2 linked regions of the Oreochromis niloticus genome follow. The protein of the gene in region 2 purifies or fractionates together with the protein of the main gene of each other region. This does not show direct contact. Links are inferred from orthologs where the notes say so. Each region holds a gene or a part of one and is shown on either strand. Other genes may lie near its edges. The genes, in order: cdca4 and ppp2r2aa.

Region 1 (10,750 bases), on a different chromosome or scaffold from region 2:
CTTGAGACTGGCTATTAAAATCTTAAAAACCGCTTGGGAGGGAAAAATAATAATATCAAATGATGCCTGCAAAATCCCCCAGCTGTATAATGCAAAAAATATATTTCTATATACACATACGTACATATACATAAATTCCATTCATAATTGCTCAAATCTCTAGGAAAATATGCATTGATTTATAGATTTGGATTTACAATTTGTTCTGGTTTTTGATGCATGTAGTGTGATGAATTGTTTCTCAGTCCATGTAACAATAAATAGAACTGATGAAATGGCAGAGAATACGGCCAGAAGGAGCTAGTATGACAGAGTGAATGACGGACATGAACACCTAAATAAGAATGCATCATGGTAGTTATAAGGTAATTATCTTTGCCTTCTCACAGATATTGTTGAGTTTTGGATTTCAGAACCAAAGTGGGAAACTAACTGCTTTGCCAACTCACCAGCATACCTTCTAAATCCCCAGATTTGTTAATTTTACCCACACAATTGTAACTGCCAATTGCATTTTATTTTATTTCTTTATACAAAAGATCACAACAGCAGATGTTAACCTGCCCAAGTGGCTGTTACAGGAGACTAACTACATCTCTAATACCCCCATCCCCAAATCTACTTGGCTTGCTGTTAATTTCCCATCTTGATCCAAAACCTCCAACAATCTCTATGTGTAACAATACCACATACAGAACACACACGTGTACTGTGCATAGTCTGGAAAGAGTCTGTGGCATCAGTACAGACCAGAGGAATGTTCAGAGTTTCAGGATCCCACTATGATCTCCATGATGTGGTCCAGTTCGTTCAGGTCTGACCTGCAGCTCGAGCTGGAGCTCAGGGCCGTGGGCCCATGAGAGGACAGGCTATCGAGCAGATCGTAAGGCCCCATTTTCGGGGCGCTCTGCATGCCTGTCAGCACCGTATCGAGGTCATAGTAAGACGGGTCCACGTCTGAAAACAGTTCCTCGAGCGCAGGGTCAGGGGGCGGCGCTGGGTGCTTGATCTCAAAAGTGCCAAAAACCTGCTCCCCTGTCCTGGAGTCTGCACTTAGGTGGTCCCCGTCTCCCTCCTCTCCCTCTGATACGCACTCCTCGCTGTCCTCCTCTTCTTCCTCCTCGCACTCACCATCTTCCTCTTCCTCCTCCCAGCAGGGCCCCATGCCAAAGGGACCTGCGAGGTAAGAAGCCGAGGACAGCTGAGGGGAGACGGGTGACAAAGTAGACATGGTGACATCCGTCTCCACATCTCCCTCCATGACCACTTCTTCAGAGTGGTAGCCTTCCTCCACACCGACCACTGAGTAAGGCTTTGGGCTCTGCCCTGCCTGGGCTGCTGCATCAGTCTGTCGGCACAGCACTTCAGTGGCCACCAGGCGGTCGGTGGGACACTGGGCGGCTGCGAGGGCCTGCGTCATTATCTGCCAGGTGCCATCCTGGGTCATTTCCTCCTGGATCTGCCGCACCGTGTTGGCAATTAGAACTGAACGGCACAGGTTCGGCTCTACCAGCATGTGACAAAGTTGCAGCTTGATGAGCGACATGTCAAGCAGCGACTGCCGCTGCAGACTGTAAGAGGAAGACAGCGTCCGAGCTGCCACCGAAGGAGATGCGGGGCCCTGGTCGCCACTGGAGACGGCCTCCTCCCCAGAGTCTGAGAACTTGCGCTTGGTGCCCTTCGGGAACATGTTGTCTCTCTTTTGTGATGGCAAGGAGACAAAAAAAGAAAAAAAATCAGTGAGAAACAATGGCACCACTTGCTTAAATATTAAGAAATGTGCCACACAGACAAACACAAAATTTGTACTGCTGTCATTTTCACTAGCTAAAATAGTTACAAAGATTAAGTGCCATGTAATTAATTATGTAAATGTGTGATGTTATGAGGCTATGTGGTGTAACATTTGTGTGGACATGAGGGAGCTAGGGCTACAATCTGCTGAACTGCAGCTGTGACTTTACAAATAAACTACAGGCTTACTCTACAGTAAACAAATAATTGTTGTAGTTTTTTTCTTAAAGTTTGCTATACCTTTCCTGTTGAGAGGCACAGGCAATAGCAATGCAGCTTGGTCCCGGCTGCAACGCTTCAAGTACTTTTGTACGAGCGACAAGCAGCTTTTGTTCAGCACCATTTCTGCCCATTTTAGGCCAGTCTGAGGCAAGACTCCTGCTGGGCGGAACAACCACACTTTTAACAGACCACTGAGCCACCGAAAATAGCATGGTTACCGACTAAATGCGGACACTGCATCAAAGTAAGCACAGACTACAGAGACCTCTGTCAGAAAACAAAAACAGCACTCAAGTTAATTAGTGCATTTATTTTCTTTCCCCCACTGCCACCTGTGATCAAGAAAATCAAAAAGATATCCTAATCAATAAGGGTGCTTTCAAGGGGGTAAAAGTGACAAGGATATGGAAAGTAACAGCATTTACAATTCACAGTACAATGTACCACCATGAGCCACTAATATTTACAAGGGATATCAGGTTTCCAGGTCTACGCACGCGACGCTTCAAAAACTAGCAGAACAAGATTTTCACTTTCTCTTCACTGAGGAGGGGAAGAAAAGCACAGTCAACTTCCTCATTAAATACCACTTCAACACACACATGTCTTACAGAAACAAAACAATACTCCCGCTAATGTTAAAGGCCCCTCTGACTCCCAAAAATAAATGGGATGCAAGTGAATAGGAGACTGAGCTCCAAACAGCAGCCTGTGGCATTTAATTTTCCATCAGACAGAAAAACAGTATGCACAGTGTCCGGCTGTCTCCTCTGTGTTAAACCTGTGGGCAGGGCATTTGGGTCAATGATTCCAGTTGCTTCAAATTTCTATTTGTGATAGACATTTTAAAAAGGGGAAAAAAGAAAACACAAAATTTTTTAAAATCAGTACAATGAAAAACAACACTGATTCATGTTTTGCGTTAGGATTCACAGGGCACAAATCACAGAGAGGGTTGGATCACTTTACAGAAATTTCCTGTTTTTCAGGAACTAGGAATCAAAAAGAAACTACCATGCCCAAGACACTGCTGTTACTGTCATAAATCATCTCCACACCAAATTTTCATTTTTATTTTAGGATGCCAGGCCAAACTAAGGCCCATAATCTGTGCAAATTACATATTTTAACATTGACACAGTGTGTAGTCACGGGTGTTGTGCAATAGCATACTGACAAAAACTAGTAAAACAAGTCAACACCTTGTGAGTTCACATTTAATAGAAAAGTATACATCTAAATAGTTGATCAATCAGATCCCCACATTTTTCAAAAGTTACAATCCATGCCAAAAGGAAAAAAAAAAAGAGAAGTGGCTCGTAAGTACAATTAAAGGCTTGGGAGCCTGGAGGTCTTTGAGTCCTCGTAATCATAGAATAACATTTCCTGACAGTGGACAGAATAAAGGGGGGAAAAGGTAATTTATGAAGATACCCGGAGATCTAAAATGAAAAGGGTGAGAAAACGATTATGGACATATGTTGTCTTCTTATGTGGTGCAATAATACTGGTCCCTGTTAAATAAGAGACACTAGAGAGAACTACCTCCTTAAAGAAAAAAAAGTAGAAAAATGAAAAAAAAGAAAAAAAAGACATTAAATAGAAACAGGAAGAACTACAACCTGAGAGACGGATCACTGCACACAGAAGAGAAAACAGTTTTGGACATGACAACTTTTTTTTTTTTTTAACATTTATACTGATAATTGTTTTCGAACACCCTATAGTTTAGCATTTTTAAAGCTTAAGGATTCTACTCTGAATTTAGAATTAGATTTCTGAAAACAATAAGAAAAACAGCAATTCATATGTAGGTCATATATAAAATAAGACTGAAAGCGAGTTATGTCCTAACCAGTCTGATCAGTCATCTGTAGCAGGCAACATACACAGTGCGTTGTGTTGTGTTTTTCCACTGTGGGACATGTAAACAACTACAATCTCATACAATCAATTCCCTAAATGTTCTTACATTTTAACCACTTAAAACACTTTCAATCAAGATAATATTGACAGATAACCTAATATGAGCACTAAATAACAACCAAACTCCTGATAATAACATCTCAATCTGCAAGTGAACATTTTTTTTAAAGATTTACTTACTTTACCAATAAGAATGTATTGATTTTAAAACCCAAAGTGATCTGCTACAGACGCTTAATTTTAATGACTGATGTCGAGATCATACTCAGTTAAATAGTATTCATTTACACCTGCACATTAGTATTGATGTATTTCAGACCATTAAACTTAGTCGCACATCTTTTTAACATGATTTCACAAAAATGCTGACATATGTGGTGTTCAAAAACTTCTAACATATCAGGAAATAAGTGCGGGGAGGGGGAGGAGGATCACCTCGTGTAAATCAGTACTTTATTCTGATGCTGACATTACAGTTGTATTTACGTCAGACAGACAGTGTCACTAAACTGGATTTAAAACAGTTTAAATACAGTTACTAAACTGAGTGTTTTCTACTATGCTAGGAAGCAGAAGCCAAACAAAATGCAGCCCCGTTTTACGTCAATGGTTCTTAGCATGGCCCATCCCCCACCACTTTCACAGCCCGCCGTACTAAATGAATAAACACATTTTTAAAAAGCACTGCTTACATTTCTCCCACTTCCCTCTTAAATACATAGCGCTACCACTGCCAGTCGCCAGATTAAAACCGCTAGAATAGCTGTAAAAAGCGACGGAGAGCTTCTGGCCGTGACTGCCGCATGCTTTTGTCTTTTCAGCATCAGAGCTACCGAGCGACAATGAGGCCATTTTGCGCTAGTAGCTAACAGTTAGCCGGCCGGCTATGCTACAGACGGAATTTACACTTCTGGGTTGCCGCTAGCTAGCATAAAATGTTCCGTGAAAAAAGATGCCTCCACGGAGGCACAAAACCCTCGGCATTCGTTTGGAAACTTCCTCTTACATAAAACGAATGCTAGCGAACGTAAAGCTAATTAGCTAAAAGCGCCCACCCACCCACAGTCCGCGGTCCTTCCTCCTTTCTAGCCAAAAACAAGAGTTTTCGCCACGGCGGAGCTGTTAAGTTCCCCAAAAACAACACACGGTCACCCGGGTGGCTAGTTAAAAACACTATCGTCGGGTGCTTGAGTAGCCGTACTCACCTCGTGTTTGTGTTAATTTAATTCCCGTCTCGGTCATAGGATCGACAGCAGAGAAAGCGGAGATCAGGTTCAGATGAGATCATTCATGCCACGGCTTCAAAAACTGAACTACCTCTGTCCTGCTGCTGCTGCGGAGCGGACGACAGGAGGGGAAGGAAGGGAGGGGGAGGGGAGCCGACAAAAGCCAGCCATATGCCTGGGATTCCTCTCTAATGATTTCTCCCTGCTTTTCTCTCCTACTAATGCTTTAACAAACAAGCCAAAGCCCGCTGCTGGCTTCAAGAACAAGATGTAGAAGATCTGATGTTGTTCTGGTTACTCTTTGTGTATTGACGCTGCGTTTACCGCTGGCCTTTTTAACAAGAAAAACAATCTGTGGCGAGGGGAATTATACCCACTGAATGGAAAGTGACTAAGAAACACGAATTTACTCCGCTACGTGCCTAGTCCCTAGTATGTATGAGGTTATCGTGACATTTCGGTGTTATGCCTTTTGTTTATAGCGAATGATTTTACTTCTGATTTCACTGTCTTTATCTGACTGTTGCAACTACCAGTTTACTGAAACATATAAAAGGCTGGCTGGCGACAAACCTTTTGGCTTTTATTGTGCACGACTGATTACTTTAAGAGGTAAAATGACATAATACTCATTCAAACAAAAATAAATTTGTACGAAGTCCCTACAAGAGAATCCAATGTTGTTTAGCAAAACATCATTTTTCTATGTTTGTACTTTATTAATAATCCAATAACCTTTTTACTCACTGTATGAATTTTGAGCACTTACACTGTGGATTCACCCTCCAGTAATACTACAGTTCTACACTGACACAAATATCAAAACGCAACCCAGTTTATTAATAAATAATAAAAATAGGAAATGCTTAATAGAAAATTGTAACAAGAAACCTATTATTCTATTTATATAATATTAAAAAATAGTCTTTAACCACTCCTAATTTCTTTATATTTTCTTAGAGAAATGGGATATAGGTGACGTGATTTATTTAAAATTGTGCAAATACAAATATAGCTCGTACAACAAAAACTGAATGTGCACAATCCTAATCAACTTAGAAGTCAGTATTTGGTATGACCACCTTTATTCTTCAGCACAGCCTAAACTCTCTTAGGCAAGCTTTCTTGTGATTTCATTAATTAGGAATAGGAAGAATCAGGAATAGTTCTCCAGGCTTCTTAAAGGATATTCACAGCTCTTCTTTGGCTGTTGGCTGTTTTTTTGTTGTGTTTTCTGTAAAGATGATCCCACACTGCTTCAGCAATGTTGAGGTCCAGGCTCTGGGGAGGCCAATCCAGGACTGATAGTGTTCCACAGTGCTTTGCCACTCATTTTCATTTCAGTTATTCCGTAAATTGTCATACGTTAGCCCTTTCTTCCTGTTTCCTTCCTTAAGAATGGCTTCATGATTGTCACCCTTCCATTGAGACCGTTTCTGATGAGGCTTTGGCAAACCGTAGATGGATCAACTAAAGGGCCAGATATGTTTCTCAGGTGCTTTGTCATGTCTTTGCTGATTTTTGTTCCTATTTCTTTCAATCTGCCACTTCTTTTTTGTTTTCATCCTCCACTTGTCACTTCTTTGATATGCCATCTTTTTAGCTAAAAATGCTTTTTTTTATGCCTGTGATACTGTACGATACTATGGCATTTTACACTTAAAGCTACAATGTAAAATTGGTTAAGTGTATAGAAAACAGTGGTTGAGCCCATGAGTTAGATGGCTTTATATGTCTGAATTGTCAATTTTCTTGTCAATTAATAAGTCCGGTGTTAAGCACCTTAAAAGGCAATAAAACATTCTTCTGAAAATAGTCAGATACAAGGAACGGACTGAAAATGAAAGAAAAATTTGCTTCAGAAAGTCAGAAGAACTATTGCTCAAGACCAGTTTATAAAAATAACAAGAATGTCTGGCTTCTTGGAAGTGAAATGAGGGGTGGCTCAATACTGTTGCACAGTACCGTATTTATTTTATTTTTTTTTACATGAAATAATTGTTCTTTTTTAATTTGATGGCACCGAAAAAAGCTGTGAAACAGCCATTAAAGGCACCTGGTGGAACATCTCTTTACACTAATTGGGTTTGTTGGCAGCAGGTCAGTAACACGACTGGGTTTAAAAACACTGCCACACATGCAGACTGAGCCTCTGGTAGTTGTGATCAGAACTAACACACCACATTTTGGGTAATAGTGCGTGGATCTTACCCAGTGAGCTGTAAGCATGGTTTATACATGTTATGTGTGTTGAGACCGCAATAATAAAACCATTTTGCTCAACCCCGAACAGTTACTCTGCTTTATTTTGAATGTCACTGGTCCATTATGAGTCAAATTTGAATAAAGCCTTTGAATAAAGTTCAAATGGTGTTAACTGTTTTTAGATAATATAACAGAAACCATAGTTTTACACTTAATACATGGCAAAAAAGGTATATACTTGTTGAGTCACTGTATGCTCTGTTTTCACCAAGTCAAACAAACAAAATGCGTCTAAGCTTTTTCCTTTTGGTGGTGAAAAGGACTTGCTTTTGCTTATGCTCGTATTTTCTTAAAATGCTGAAGAAATCATTCTGGCGAGGTAACAAAAAGTCAGCTGGTTTCAGTAGCTGATAGAACCGCTTTTAACCCTTTATAGTTTGGTCTAACTTAACTCGGTGTGTCATTTTTTCTTATTTTCACCTTTTTCTGTCTTGTTTATGTGGACAGACACTTAAAAGAAATGTCTTTGGTAATATATTGTATTGATAACCTGTGGAAATATTCTCATTCACTGGAAATTTTAATGCAATGACAGACAGATTCAAAGAACACTGAGTTTTATACTTTCCCTGTGTACTAAAGAAATCAGAGATCTGATTACAAATCCATACTAAGGCCAGAAAAAGACAATAAAGTCAAGTTCAAATATGATCCCATGTGATTTTCCATCTCAATAGAGATCACTTTGATAAGTAAACTGCATGAACAGTCTTTTAGAATTGTGTATTTTGCTCATTGATGGTTGTTTTTTAAGCTTCTAAACTGCAGGTTTAATAAGAAGTTAAACTGCACTTTGTTTATATCTTCCCAAATCAGTAGCAGCCACCTTTGGAGGCTTTTCATTAGTGTTTTTTATAAGACTCTTTAAATCTGATTGGTGTAATTACCAGTAATTATCATCGCTAATGATGCTTATTACCTCTGCCTCTGGATGTTTTCATTTGCAGCAATGGTTATTAGCTTATCTATGTGCCTGTTACCAGAACCTACACAGACTTTAAATCCTCGAGGCTCCAACATCTAGCTACTGATCTGTAACCTCATTGGAACAATTATTAGACTTGACACAAAAAACAGAAGGTGGGGCTACTTTTTGGATAAGACGGATAATAAGAGTTAATTTGACTTATTAGAGGATATAAGTTACGTACCAAACGCCAACTTTAGCAAGGTACACCTTGCTAGCCCCAGGTTAGCCCCCTTTTGCTATAAAAACTGTTTTAATTCTTCGTGGCACTAATTCAAAATGGTGCTGGAAAATTTCCTCTGAGATTTTGGTGCATATTGACGGGACAGTATCACATAGTTGCTGTTCATTTATCGGCTGCGTGTCACCACAACCACCTCTCAAAGGTGCCCTATTGGATTTGGTCACTGTGGAAGCCGTTTGAGTACAGTGAACTCACTTTCATGTACAAAACCCCCCCCAAAAAAAACTGTTTGACATGAGTCTCCAAAAGTTGAATCTGTTCATCTGGACGTAGCGTTTTGTGGGAGAAACGTTTCGTCACTCATCCAAGTGACTTCTTCAGTCTCAGCTGACTGCAGGTTTCCCCAAACCTTATAAACAGTACATTTGCATAATGACTGAAACCAGCCCACTGAGGGAACAATGGGCTGTGAGGTCAGTTTCTTAATCATAATTATGCAAATTCCATGACCATTGATCAACAATCACTGACCAAAACCCACTGATCAAAGAACACTGATCAATGGCCATGAGTACCATTCACAGAGAGTTGGGGAATGGCTGCAATCACAGCATTGTAAGATGGTGACAGATGTACCCTTAGGCCCCCTCCTCGATTCAGAGATGGTCTTTCCCTTTTCACGTAAATGGCCTCCTTGACTCCGCGCTCAAACCGAGGAGGGGGCCTAAGGGTACATCTTTCGCCATCTTACAATGCTGTGATTGCAGCCATTCCCCAACTCTCTGTGAATGGTACTCATGGCCATTGGGGTGGGGTGGCTGTAGCTCAGGTGGTAGAGCAGGTCATCTACTGATCGGAAGGTTGGTGGTTCGATTCCTGGCTTCCCCTAGTCTGCATGCCAAATATCCTTGGGCAAGATACTAACCCCAAATTGCTCTCCGATGCATCCATCGGAGTATGAATGTGTGTGTGAATGTTACTTAGAAAGCACCTAGAAAAATGTGCTTGTGCGAATGGGTGTGAATGGGTGAATGCACAAGTTGTGTAAAGCGCTTTGAGTGCTCAGAAGAGTAGAAAAGCGCTATATAAGAACCAGTCCATTTACCATTGATCAGTGTTCTTTGATCAGTGGGTTTTGGTCAGTGATTGTTGATCAATGGTCATGGAATTTGCATAATTATGATTAAGAAACTGACCTCACAGCCCATTGTTCCTTCAGTGGGCTGGTTTCAGTCATTATGCAAATGTACTGTTTATAAGGTTTGGGGAAACCTGCAGTCAGCTGAGACTGAAGAAGTCACTTGGATGAGTGACGAAACGTTTCTCCCACAAAACGCTACGTCCAGATGAACAGATTCAACTTTTGGAGATTTACTTTCCTGGATGATTGAGAATGCATCAAGATGTTTGACATGAGTTTTGCAACATGGTTCATGATCCTGGTGGATGCTGCTGCCAGAAGCGGTCATAGAGTGAGGAACATGGTCAACAATACTCAGGTAGGCTGCGGCTTTTACATTATGCTCAGCTGATATTAAGGGGCCCAGAGTGTGCCAAGAAGTTATGCACCATGCCATTAGACCTCCAGAACCACTGATCCAAGGCAGGATGGAGCCATGCATTCATGTTGTTTCTGAATGTTGCAGCAGAAATCGAGACTCATCGGACCAGGCAGGATTTTTCCACTCTTCAATTGTGCATTGTTGATGCGCCTGTGTGAACTGTAGCACGAGTTTGCTGTTCTTGCTGCTACAGACCATCTTCTTCAAGGTTCCATGTGTCGTACTCTCAGAGATGTTCTTCTGCATACCCTGGTTGTAATTACTGGGTATTTCAGTTATTGTTGCTCTAAATATATAGAGAGAGACTTATGGAGTAGATCAACAGTTTATGAAATATTCAGTCTGTGTCTACATGCCCAAATACATTGAGTTGCTATGTGATTAGATAGCCATGTTAATGAGCAGCTGAACAGCTATACCTATTGAAATGGCCAGTGAGTGGACACCAGCCATTTCTTTTTTACTCACAGCAAAGGGAACATACATAAATAATAGCTCATGCTATACTCACTCAAACTCAAAGCGAGAATCTGCTGACATGGACTTAATCCCTCACGGTCTTCCACTCATTTTTATAATCACTGTCTAATATCACAGGTGTTTA
Region 2 (11,524 bases):
TTTCTTAGGTGAATTTGTGAATTTTATGTTACCATGTGAATTGTATGGAATTGGAGAAGTAATTTGTTGTTCAATTTCTTTTTTGTTACAAAATTGAAGAAAATATTTTCAGAAAACAACATTTAAAAAAAAAAACAACAACTTGATGAATGACAAAACCACAAATTTTATGTACGTGTTCATTTTTAAGCCTTCAGGCAGTGTATCTGGAGGATAATGTAGTCAGTGCAAAGACCTACCCTGCTGTGTGTACTCACTCCCCACTTTAAAAAGTTATGAAAATCCAAACCAACAGCTCCTTATGCCTGTGGTTTTTCTTTTACTTAAACACTGAACGCATTAAATTTCAACATATAAGTCAGCTTTGTTTCCTGTTGGTTCCCCTTAAGAAAGGGCTCTCACAACTGTGCAACTTTTCACTTGTCAAGTCTTCTTCTCAACAAACCGTCAGCTTTGTTCAAGCACATTGCACTAGTCTAGTCAGCCACCGTCCATGGCAAGAGTAACTTTATAATTGCAGCTGATTAATCGAGTGTTACACTGATAGGCACAATGAGAGCCCCCCATCGATCGTTGAGGAGACACACAGTCAAACAGTTACAGAAACACAAAAAGGGACTGACTTACGTTTGGCGTGGCTGTCACATAGCGCTGCTGCCCTCATGTCACACAGGCGGATCGTGCCCTTGCTGCTGCTGTAGACAAAAGTGTTGCATTGGTTGGGGTGGAACTCGGCCGCTGTGATCACCTCTGTTAAATCTTCCATATTGGCCGGCTTAATGTCAACAATATCTGAAGAGTTGAGGTTAAGGTAAAAAACAAACAAAACCCTGAACAGACATTTCAGCAACTTGAAGAAAAATCTTTCAGAAATAAAATGAATTTGTATTATTATTATTATTATCATCATTATTATTCATAGTGTCGTGTTATCAGTTTGAAGACCCCATTAAAGCAGGCTTTACTGCTTGCAGGTAAACAGTCTGTGCGCAGATTAAAAGAAAAACTGCTATTGCCACTATCACAGACCATTATCAAATTCACTATGATTTATCTTTTTTAAAACTATCTGCATTTCATTTTAAACAGTGACTGGCACATGGAAAAAGTTTTGTCACAGATATCTGGTGACTAGGACAAAAGTGCCCCAAATCATGTATTCACTTGTGAATACTTTCCATTTCATGCTCATGTGTTTTCAACTTTTAACAGCTACATTAATCTCACAGATGACCTCTGACCTCATGATCCTACAGTGATAAAACCATTTAACATATTTTAGTTTGCATTCATTCTTTCCCCAGTTCAAGTGTTTTACATCAGTTGAGGCAATCCTTAATAAAAGGCAAGAGTTGCACTGCATCGATCTTCCGGCATGAAGAGAAGATATGAGCGTCCAGAACGAGCAACAAATGTCAATTCAAGAAAAACGTGATTACACTTTGTATCTAACTCTGGTTCATCTTTGTTTATACAGCCTACATAAAACAACGCAGTAAGAACTCATGGGGTGAAATTATTAACATAAGATGTAGGAGGTGATTATTTTAGACTACGTTCAAGGCACCCAGTTAAACATCCCACGCTTTGGGGACATCTGGTGGTAGTATAAATAATGACACTGTGCTACAGATTAAATAGACACCAGTGAAGATAATTTTTTACCCTTGTCCAGTCTGCCTGTAGACACAGTGTGTACATTTTTAAATATCAGGCAAAGAATTGTTTATATGGCCTACAAAAATACATGAATCATGTTTTATTTGTTGCTAAGTAATACATAGTCTTTGTCTAATTTGACTGATACGGGGTGAGCAGGTGAACAGGATTAATAAGTCAGGCATCTCTTCAAAGAAAGGCTTAAAACTAACCACAATATATCATTCATTATTTCACATAACATTCACATACATTTTTTTTTTTTTTTAAAGTACTCTCCCTGGCTTACGCTCCTTTGAAAAAGGATAAACTGGGAATAAATAAGACAAAACACTGACAGAATAATTTTATATTATTGCAGTACTTTATGGAATTAAAGAATGAAAGGATACTAAAGCTGCGATCAGTGATCTCCAGATGCCAGAGGTTAACGCGCAGGTCATCAGCAGACAAGTAGGTCTCACAATCGCTGTTGACCGAGATGGAGTTGATGTGGTATGTGTGCGCGTTGGCAAACACTCGTCTAGGGCTGGCTTCCACCATCAAGTCCATGGGCCTGAATACTGGTACCTGAAAGCAAAAGTGGGGCTGTTTTTACATTTCTTTAATGGGAGATGCAGTAGATTTTTTGACCTTGATTTTAAATATATGTACACAGGCATGTTTTAAAAAAAAAAAGGAATTTCACACTACAAAAAGAAAAAAAAAAGATTAAAAAGTGTCCAAATTATTTTTCTTACCCTGGTAAAGAGGCACAAAGATGTAGGTCAAAATGTACATAGATTTACCCATTTTTAAGATGGGGACAGTTACTTGCCCTTTAAACAAAGAAATAAAGGCATTGCCTCAGTATAAACGCAAACCTGTTGAACAGAGTCTATATTTGGAAACTGTTCAGCAACCACAAGAAGAAAAAAAAAGGGGGGGGGGGGGGGTCTGTCAAAATTAAAGGTGAATAAAGCAGACATTACATCAACTGCAGCACTGCAGTAATTGCAGGAACAGATTGGTAATTTTATTAGTTCCATCTGTTTACTTGCTCATAAGATAAGTCAACGTCTCAATCAAAAATAGAACAAACAGTTTTGTAATGAGTGGAAGGAAACACGGGAAAGAAACGATTAACATTTATTCCAACTAATTCAGATGTAAATTACTAACCAGACTCAACATATTAAATTTGCTGTTCATTTTCTTGATCTACTCATAAATGAATGGAAAGTAAGCAAAGCATCTCAGTTTTGGCTAACAATGTCAAACCAAAGAAAAGATCTGGACTGTAATAAAGCCAGTTCTACACACCCGTAGTGTAGTGACAGTGTTGGGATCTCTGTATCGCCCATCTTCTTCCTTCAAATTGTAGCCCTCTGGTCTTTTGTCACGCTCACTAATTTTCCACAGCTTTATGGTTTTGTCTGCCAATGAGAAAGAGCAAAGACCATGAGAGTCATTGAGTTATATTTACTCCCATATAAGGCAGTAGATGGCGTAACAAAAGTTCACATTTACTACAGCACAATAATTTACTCAAAAGAAAGTAATTTACAAACCATTTGTTGACAAAAGAAAATGTGCTGCATTCTTCTGAGGCAACCATCGAATCTTGTTGATCTTCTCCTCAATCTCAAGACTTTTCAGGTAGTCAAACTCAGGCTCGTGGCTCTGGAAGGTGCTGTAAACATTGTACTCTCCGCGGCACTGAAGCTTATTCTTACTCTAAATACAAAACAGATCAAACAAAAGTTCAAGCGTTATGAAACCAAGATTCAATGTCTCGGGTCAAGATCACAAGAAACATTGTACTTTTACCTGTACGTCTTTGTGTTATATAAACTGAGTTTGATGACCTACCTGCTCCAGAGTATTATGAATCAAATGTTAAAAATATGTACTGTTTCTATGTGTCACTAAAACATACCTCTTGCTCCTGCTGAAAGATGACAACACGACCTCCCTTGTCCCCAGTTGCAAGTAACTCTCCAGATTGGTTAAATTCAACAGTGGATATGATATCAGCTGTCAATAATAAAAATTGCAAAAATGAGACTAGCATCAAATATAAATAACCATACATTGTTTGTCAGAGTTTCTGATGAAGGCTATTGTCAATCTAATTATTGTAAATCGAATTGCTCTCTAAATGATTCACTGCCTTTCAATGGGAAGTGGTTTACAAAATGCCTCAGCAGCCCACCTGTGAGGGGTGAAAATCATGTCAACCATGGTGAAAACACAACACAGCAATGACGCACACATATTTATACACACACACTCGACGGAGCTGTGATCTGGTGAAACTAAACGTACACTCAACAATCTTAGGACACAAAGGAAAAAAGAACAGAAAAAAAGTTTCCATCCTCAGCTTCAGATTTAGCACTTTTCAAAGACAACCATTCTCACCAAGTCCTACAATACAACAATCAATCCCCACTTACACACTGGCACTACTATAGTGCAGTCGTTAACATCGACAGTGTGCGCCTGATACGACCCGACTCCATGCAACCCCATAAAACAATAGCAGACAGACTGAAGGCGAATCCTTTTTTACAGGAAACTAATAAAAGCGTTACTGGAGTGTTGTGTTTTGAGCCCATGTACTCCTATGTATTGACACAAGGAGAGGCTCTCATTTATACATGTTCCCAGACAAAGCTTACTGTAAACAAATGGGTAGCCCTTTATACATAAATATGGCCACCATGTACTGTAAACACACTTTTGGTGCTTTGAGTTTTCCTTTAGTTCGGAAATAATTAGCTGATAAAGGTTTTCTTTTAACTTGGCCACTCAAACAGATCTGTAATTAGTCAAATGTAAGTGCTGCTTCGTTAACAAATATGAAACGCCTATTAAAGATTCTTGTCTGGCTGAGGTAAAATCTTTTTCAATTCTAACATGCAGTTCTCTCCCAATCATGTAAACATTGTGTAATACCCCTCTAATACCCAGGGTGAACGGAGAAAATAGTGAATGCCATTTAGCACAATTATGCCAAAAATAGAAGACTGTTGTCAGTCTGTGAGAAACCAAATGGACTACAATACCACACCACTGATCCCTTATACCCATTATTACTCTAAAAAAGAAGGCATTACTTTTCATTGCATATTTAGAAATACCACAAATATAAAGTGTGGCAGCAGCACTTTGAAGAAAAGCCTAAAACAAGCGTGCACAGGATGGTGATCCTGGCAGCTCAGGCTAGCAAATGTTCAGTGACTATCACATGGACTTACCTTCAGCGACGTCGTCATCTATTGCTCCTTTGACTTGGGAGAAGCACCACTGCACATCATTGCTCCCACCACCAGGCCCTGCACACAACATGACCCCAAGATTGGACACACCACCATTAAAGAGGGACAACTTTACACGCGTTAGCCTGCAGCTAACTTAGCTAAAAACATCAATATGACAACGAGGCCTTAAGGAAATTCACAGTAACTGTGCGTTGCAACTGCTGCTATAAACTCATAGGCACAGATAACTACTTTACGTGTGTTTGTGGAGAATACCGCTCACTTTAACACTAACACTGACTTACACTGGCATCTTTGAATTATCCTAGCTCGCTAGCTAGCTTGCGCTGGTTAAACATGACATAACAGAGAAACCCATCATCGTTGTCAAACAGGTCAGCACCTGTTAATTAATAACCCCAGCCACTGTGGTAGTCTTTTCCCCTGTGATTTTACCTGCCATGGTGAGCGACTCGTAGAGGGGTATCTAAGCGGGCTCGGGCCCTGGACTGGAACAGTGCTGACCCGGGTCGGCTGGGAGGTTCTAGCGAGGAGCAGTGCAGGAATGAAGCCGGGAGTGCTGCTTGGTACTCTGAAGAACGTAAGCAAAAGTCCTCGGCCCTGCTATGCACCACGGAACTGTTTTACACAAAGTAATTAATAATGCCTACTATTGGCTTGTAGACTTTGCACTCTACTTTGAGAGTTCCCTCGCCTCTGCCTCTTTACAGCACTTTCAAAATGGCGAAACGCGGGCGGCGTTCAGCAGTCAACAGGGAGCGGTGAGAGGGTGCGCCGCGAAATTTTAAACCTACCCCTCAGAGACGTTGGTCATCTTCCTGTCTGCGGAGACCGCGAGGTCACTTGATTTACTGCGCTTTAAATTCATAAAAAGGGTAATAAGCAGGTTTTTAAAATATAAAACCCCGTATAACTGCTAGACCCCGCCCATGTGCATTGTTTCAGTGAAGAAAATCGAACTAACCCCGGACGCATGCTGAATTTAGAAAGTGGAGTCCGAAAGCTCCAAGTTTAAAACAGAAATTCAGATTTCTTAATAAATTTTAGAGGGGTTTTTAATTTGTTTTAATGTCCACAAAAGTTATTTCACATTGGGTGGATTTTATGAGTTACTATCTTGTTTACTGCCTATTAAATGTAGTCATTGCATGACCCACTGATTCCACTGAGTTAAACTACAACTGAATGGGAAATAAACTGAGTAATAATTGCAGTAGATGCATCTGACATCTTTGTTCAGCAGGATGTCTCTGAGAGTTCAGCCTCAGAGCCTTATGCGTCAATGTAAGCGTAACTAGAAAAAACGTTTCTTCCAAGTAAAATTAATCTCACCTACTAGGGCCCTGTGAGGAAGTTAGTTTTACAGTTATTAGCGAAGGAAAAGCTCAGGTGTATGATGTTATCAATGCCTCCCTTCGTTTCCTGGTAACTCTTTGGCACATGAACAGTTGAGAGTGTTTATACCAGAAAAAAGTGACTTGTCATAGCCAGAAAAACAAAGTTAAAACAGATTTTCATTGACAATGACTCAGCTCTATCAACTGGCTATGCAATGAAGGTGATTCAGCGTGTTTACTGCCTTTTATTCAAACCAGTTCACCTAGATGGATGGCAGCCATCTAAATTACCAGTTATACCTGTGCTCTTTTTTTTTCTTTTCTTTTTTTTGAATGACACATCAAAGAATACTTCCTAAAAAGAGGCCTGCTGCAACCTGTATGAGATTCTCTCAACACTATTTTGAATGTATATAGATCTAAGGCAAAGATTTAGGTTTTAGCTCATGGTCGAAATCATGAACCTTAAGCCACAGTGACACCTTAGTACATTTGAGTAATCTAAAAGGAATAAATGCAGTAAGAATACATACCCACTCAGTGTCAAATATTGTCTGATACTATTGTACCAAAGTATCATTCTTCAGTCTTACTGATATCTAAAGTGTCACAGATATAGTGCATGATGCATGTGAATATAAATGTTTTTCAGATTTCCTGGTCACATTTGTTAAATCTCCGTCATATCTGGTAAATGTCTATTAAATAAGATCAAATAAAACCAAACTACCAATCACACAAATGCTACTGAATGCTAATATGCTTGTTTGCTCGCTCCCTTTTGCCAGAATTTTCATGTTCAAACAACACAGGAGCTGACACTGCAGCAAAGCACATCAAAGAAGCCAGTGTGGAAATTTTTCTGTATACACTGTATAGTATAATAAGGCATACTGATTTATACTTCCCCAGCAACCATGTTAGGAACGTATTTCTTCAGTTAAAAAGCGGTCAGATGACTGTCCAACCAAACCAACTGTCACTCAACCACCCAGACCAACAGAGAAGAATCTCCACTCAACAGTCAGTGGGCCAAAGCAAACTTTTTAAATATATATAACCATCTCTATCCAAAATGCATCAAATGTACAAAAAAGCATAGAAGAATTCAGATCATTTTCTTGGATTTCAACATTTTTGCGCTGAGCAGTCCAGTTTCAATTTGCAATTAAGGAACTGTGCAGATTAAAGAGACTCTTCTCTTTATAAGTATTTTTCTATTATATTATCAAATAAATATATCTGTTAGACTCTGACTTCCTATTCAGTGTTATTTTCATTCTGACACTCACATAAACCGCTTGCTTCCTCTCTACTGCAAAAGGTGATGTAAGTATGATAAAGAAACTAACCTTAAAGAAATGGGGAGGGGATTTGTGGTCAGAAATGCGGGGCAAGTTCATTTTTCAGTAACATAAGATGGGATGGACAAAAAAAATCAAGAATCACCAGAGACCCACAGATAGGCAGGACAGGCTAACAAAAGCAAACTAACTGCAGGTTTATAATTTCCACTTAAAGATCTTAAAGAAGCGACTAAACCAACATGATGACATCACTGCTACTACTCATCTTCTCAACGATGACAGGTAAAAAGACTATGACCAACTCCTAATTGATATTATTCACAAATCATTATACTGTAAATAATGTTAAATATGATTAAAATAGGTATTACACTATGTATTTTGTACTTCATATATTTACACAACAGGGACTGTACATATTAACATTGTCGCATTTAAGCTAAATGCAACAGATGCAATCATATAGGACTTCTGGCCGCAGCTAATTTCCACACCGTTTGCTGCTTAGGCTTTTACGACACTGTATATCAATAAAAGTCTATTTTTTTTCTTAAAATTGTACCTCTGCCCCATCTTTGCTGTTACCGAATTCTCACAGATTTTAAAAGCCAAGAGCCATTTTCACTCTTCTAATATTGAATGTTACTACAATGTTACCCATGACTTTTCTTTCTGTTTTAAAGAACATTACATTATGACAGATGATCATGATTATTCACATTACTTTAAAGTTTCACTAATGTGTTTATGGTAGGATTAAATCAAATGCCATGTCGTATTTTCCACCATGACATCAATGACCGTGAAACAGGTCTAAAAAGGCCCTCACTCTCTAAAAACTCATTTTTTACAGTGACACAGGGATTAATAATGCCAGTCAGAAGAGATAAGGACTGACAGCTTATGAGACCTAAGCTATATGGATAAAAATATTAGGCCACCCTCATATTACACCCACAGGAGCTGCTCTGCCAAACCCATGCCATGAAGCTCTCAGTGCACAGTTTTTGTGCAGATGTTAATGCTAGAAGAGGTCTGGAACTCCTCATTTATTGAGTTAATACAGTGTTGGAAACTTTCATTGACTTAGTGGCTCAGCAAACAGTGACTCTGCTTTAAAACTGTATGAGCAATCATACCATTTACAGTTGTTGTGAATATCTAAGAAGGAAAAAGTTTCATTAACTATGAAACTTCATAAATTTACAGTAGCATCCTATTACAGTGCCTTATTTGAATACAGAGACCCATTCTTTTACAAACCTTTGTAGTCTGCATGCCTACGTGCTTGATTTTACACACCTACAACAGTGGGACTTACTTCTGCCCGTATGCAGGGCACCTGCCACTAAAAACAAGAAAACACAAACATTTTAGAAATCTGTTAAAAACTTGTTGTTATTTATTAGCTAACAAACTGAATTCAAGTTTTTATACTGAAATTTGAGCTGGCACAAGCATGACAATTACTACTGAAATTGGTTTTTATTGGCTAATTTTGGATGTGATTTACTTTTTTGTTGTTGCTTTATAGTAAAACATAAAATTTATAAACTCACGTATAACAAGAAAAATTATATTTTAACATTAAAAATATGATTTTGATTACAGAGCTCACAGATTAACCAGAAGCATAAAACATTACTTTGGTAATTACCAATGCTGTAAGTTTAGGGTAGCCGTGTTATAAAACCACCACCACCAATGGGTGGTGGTCTAATAAAGCTTTTTAAGTAAGCACTGTAGTTTAAGTCCATGAACTGTGGACTTGGTGAGACAAGAGGAAGGAGAAATGAAAACATGACTAAACCAATCCATGCAAAAACAAACAAACAAAACAAAACCTTAGAAATCTGGAAGCAGTTTTTTCACATGTACTGCATATTTTGTTAGCAACTGTGAAAAACAACAACAACAACAACAATAATAATAATAATAAACATGATTTAATGGTATATTAATTAATTGTAACATTATATATTGAAGCAGAAGTTCGCTTTTGCAGTAGTGACACTTTGAATCATAACAAAAATACTAACTGGTCACAGCATCATGCCTATATAGTAAAAATAAAAACAGCAATGTTTACAGCATGCTCTGCTAATAAAGTATCTCAAGACTGTTGCATGAAGAACTGTGCACCTAATTGATAAATTAATTTGCTTATTTGTTTTGTTAAATGACCAACATAATTTGAATATTTGTCTTCAGGTTGTGAGTTGATGTCAGATAGAAAGAACTGCACAGGAGGTTGGGTTCACGTCCCCTTCAACAACACTGAAACAAAGGCAAACTGTCAAATGGCTTATGGAAATCATACAAACTGCATTCTCACAGTGATCACCAGGAAACCTATGAATGAGAACAAAAACAAAACGGAAAAACATTGTGATGAACAGAAACTTGGTAAGACATGTTTTTCGTTTGTTTATTAATTGATGAATTCATTTTGGCTTCATTTTGTTAGTTTTTGTTGTGACTTTTTATGGCTTCAATCAAGGTAAAAAAAAATGTTATATGCAGTATTTTCTATGCAACATGGTGGTGCAGTGGTTTGCACTGTTACCTCAACGCAATGGGGTCTTGGGTTTAAATCTGCAAGCTGGGGGCTTGGCTTCTCGCCACATAATCCAGCTTCCTCCCAAATGTCCCAAAGACATTCGTGTTAGGTTAACTGCCAATTTCCCTTTGGCCACTGTGAATGGTTGTCTGCCTCTCTGTGTTATCAGTGTGATGGCCTGACAGCTTGTCCACGATCCACAGCTTGATCAGTCAGTAGAGTCATAAAGTTTGGTTCCAATTTTCTACTTTATTTACTGTTTGCTGTTATTTGCCGTTTTCCCTTTTAAGACTTTTCATAATCACAAAATGTTACAAATTTTACTAATTACAAATGTAATTTCTTAAATTTAAGATGCAATTTTAAAAGAAAATTTTAACAGAGTACTAATACACATACACACTTTACTGTAAAAATATTACACTGTTTGATTTTGTTTCATCTGTATATTTATTCGCAGTGAAATCAGACTGCATAAAACCATTTAATCAAACTGGGTACATTACTGCTAAAGTCACCATCAGATGTGATTATCCAAGAGAAGAAAACAAGTCCAGGGAGATGTTTTTCTGCAAAGATAATAATTCCATCTGTGAGGATATTTTACCACCACAATTTCATCAAAAATGGACATTCACAAACAACAGCCAGGGCTTTAACGTGTCCATCAGTAATGTGTCCCTACAGGATAAGGGTGTCTACTGGTGCGGAGTAAAATTATCTAATAGCTATGCACTAAAAAAAATAAGGCTGGAAGTTAAAAGTGAGTACTCCACAACTTCATTTTCTGAGTTTTAAGTTCTACATTTAAACATGTTGGCAAATCTCTGTTTTCTATAGGTATTAGTGGCTTTACAAAATCAGAAACTGTTGGAAAAAACTTCACATTCTTGTGTAACTACACCCAGAGTGAGCAGTCACTTACAAAATTTATCTGTAAGGGGGACGACCCATCTGCATGTCAAACTCTTGCTAATACCAACAACACAAGCAAGAACGAGAGGTTTTCCATGAATGACAACAAAACGCAGACAAACATCAGCATAACAGTGAGAGAAGTAACTGCAAACGACAGCGGGACGTACTGGTGTGGAGCAGAAAGCCCAAACAAACAACACAGTGACATGTTCTTCAGCAAATTATTCCTGACTGTCGGTGAGTCATCATTTATTTTAATTTTTTTTTTTAAAGTGTGTAGGTGACCTGGTTCAGAATACAGTTGATATCACAGGATGGTAATCATGTATATGTACTATCTTTAGCTGGTGATATGCCCCCCCCCGCTGACTTAAAAGCCTAATAAAAACTATTAGCCAGAACCAATAACCACCTTAAAATTGTAAGTGAAGAAGAATACACGTCTGTGTCGTCTGGAACCACGGGAAGCGCTTAATA

What was found.
Region 1: the proteins of ppp2r2aa (region 2) and cdca4 purify together in Homo sapiens (affinity purification with mass spectrometry; 4 studies listed by BioGRID and IntAct, with this or other methods). This does not show direct contact. The link is inferred for Oreochromis niloticus from reciprocal best matches to the Homo sapiens genes PPP2R2A and CDCA4.

The regions. Positions count from the first base shown.
Region 1 is NC_031983.2:6,916,255-6,927,004, forward strand, and holds the start of cdca4 (cell division cycle-associated protein 4), read right to left. Parts: upstream 5,491-10,750; 5' UTR 5,148-5,490; intron 2,176-5,147; 5' UTR 2,035-2,175; intron 1,700-2,034; 5' UTR 1,691-1,699; coding exon 770-1,690; 3' UTR 1-769. UniProt on the Homo sapiens protein: May participate in the regulation of cell proliferation through the E2F/RB pathway. May be involved in molecular regulation of hematopoietic stem cells and progenitor cell lineage commitment and differentiation.
Region 2 is NC_031977.2:12,395,123-12,406,646, forward strand, and holds the start of ppp2r2aa (serine/threonine-protein phosphatase 2A 55 kDa regulatory subunit B alpha isoform), read right to left. Parts: upstream 4,993-11,524; coding exon 4,902-4,992; intron 3,676-4,901; coding exon 3,578-3,675; intron 3,376-3,577; coding exon 3,210-3,375; intron 3,075-3,209; coding exon 2,962-3,074; intron 2,230-2,961; coding exon 2,052-2,229; intron 793-2,051; coding exon 628-792; intron 1-627. Other genes in the region: uncharacterized protein LOC102080115, read left to right, coding at 7,809-7,851, 9,781-9,975, 10,590-10,892, 10,970-11,284. UniProt on the Homo sapiens protein: Substrate-recognition subunit of protein phosphatase 2A (PP2A) that plays a key role in cell cycle by controlling mitosis entry and exit. Involved in chromosome clustering during late mitosis by mediating dephosphorylation of MKI67.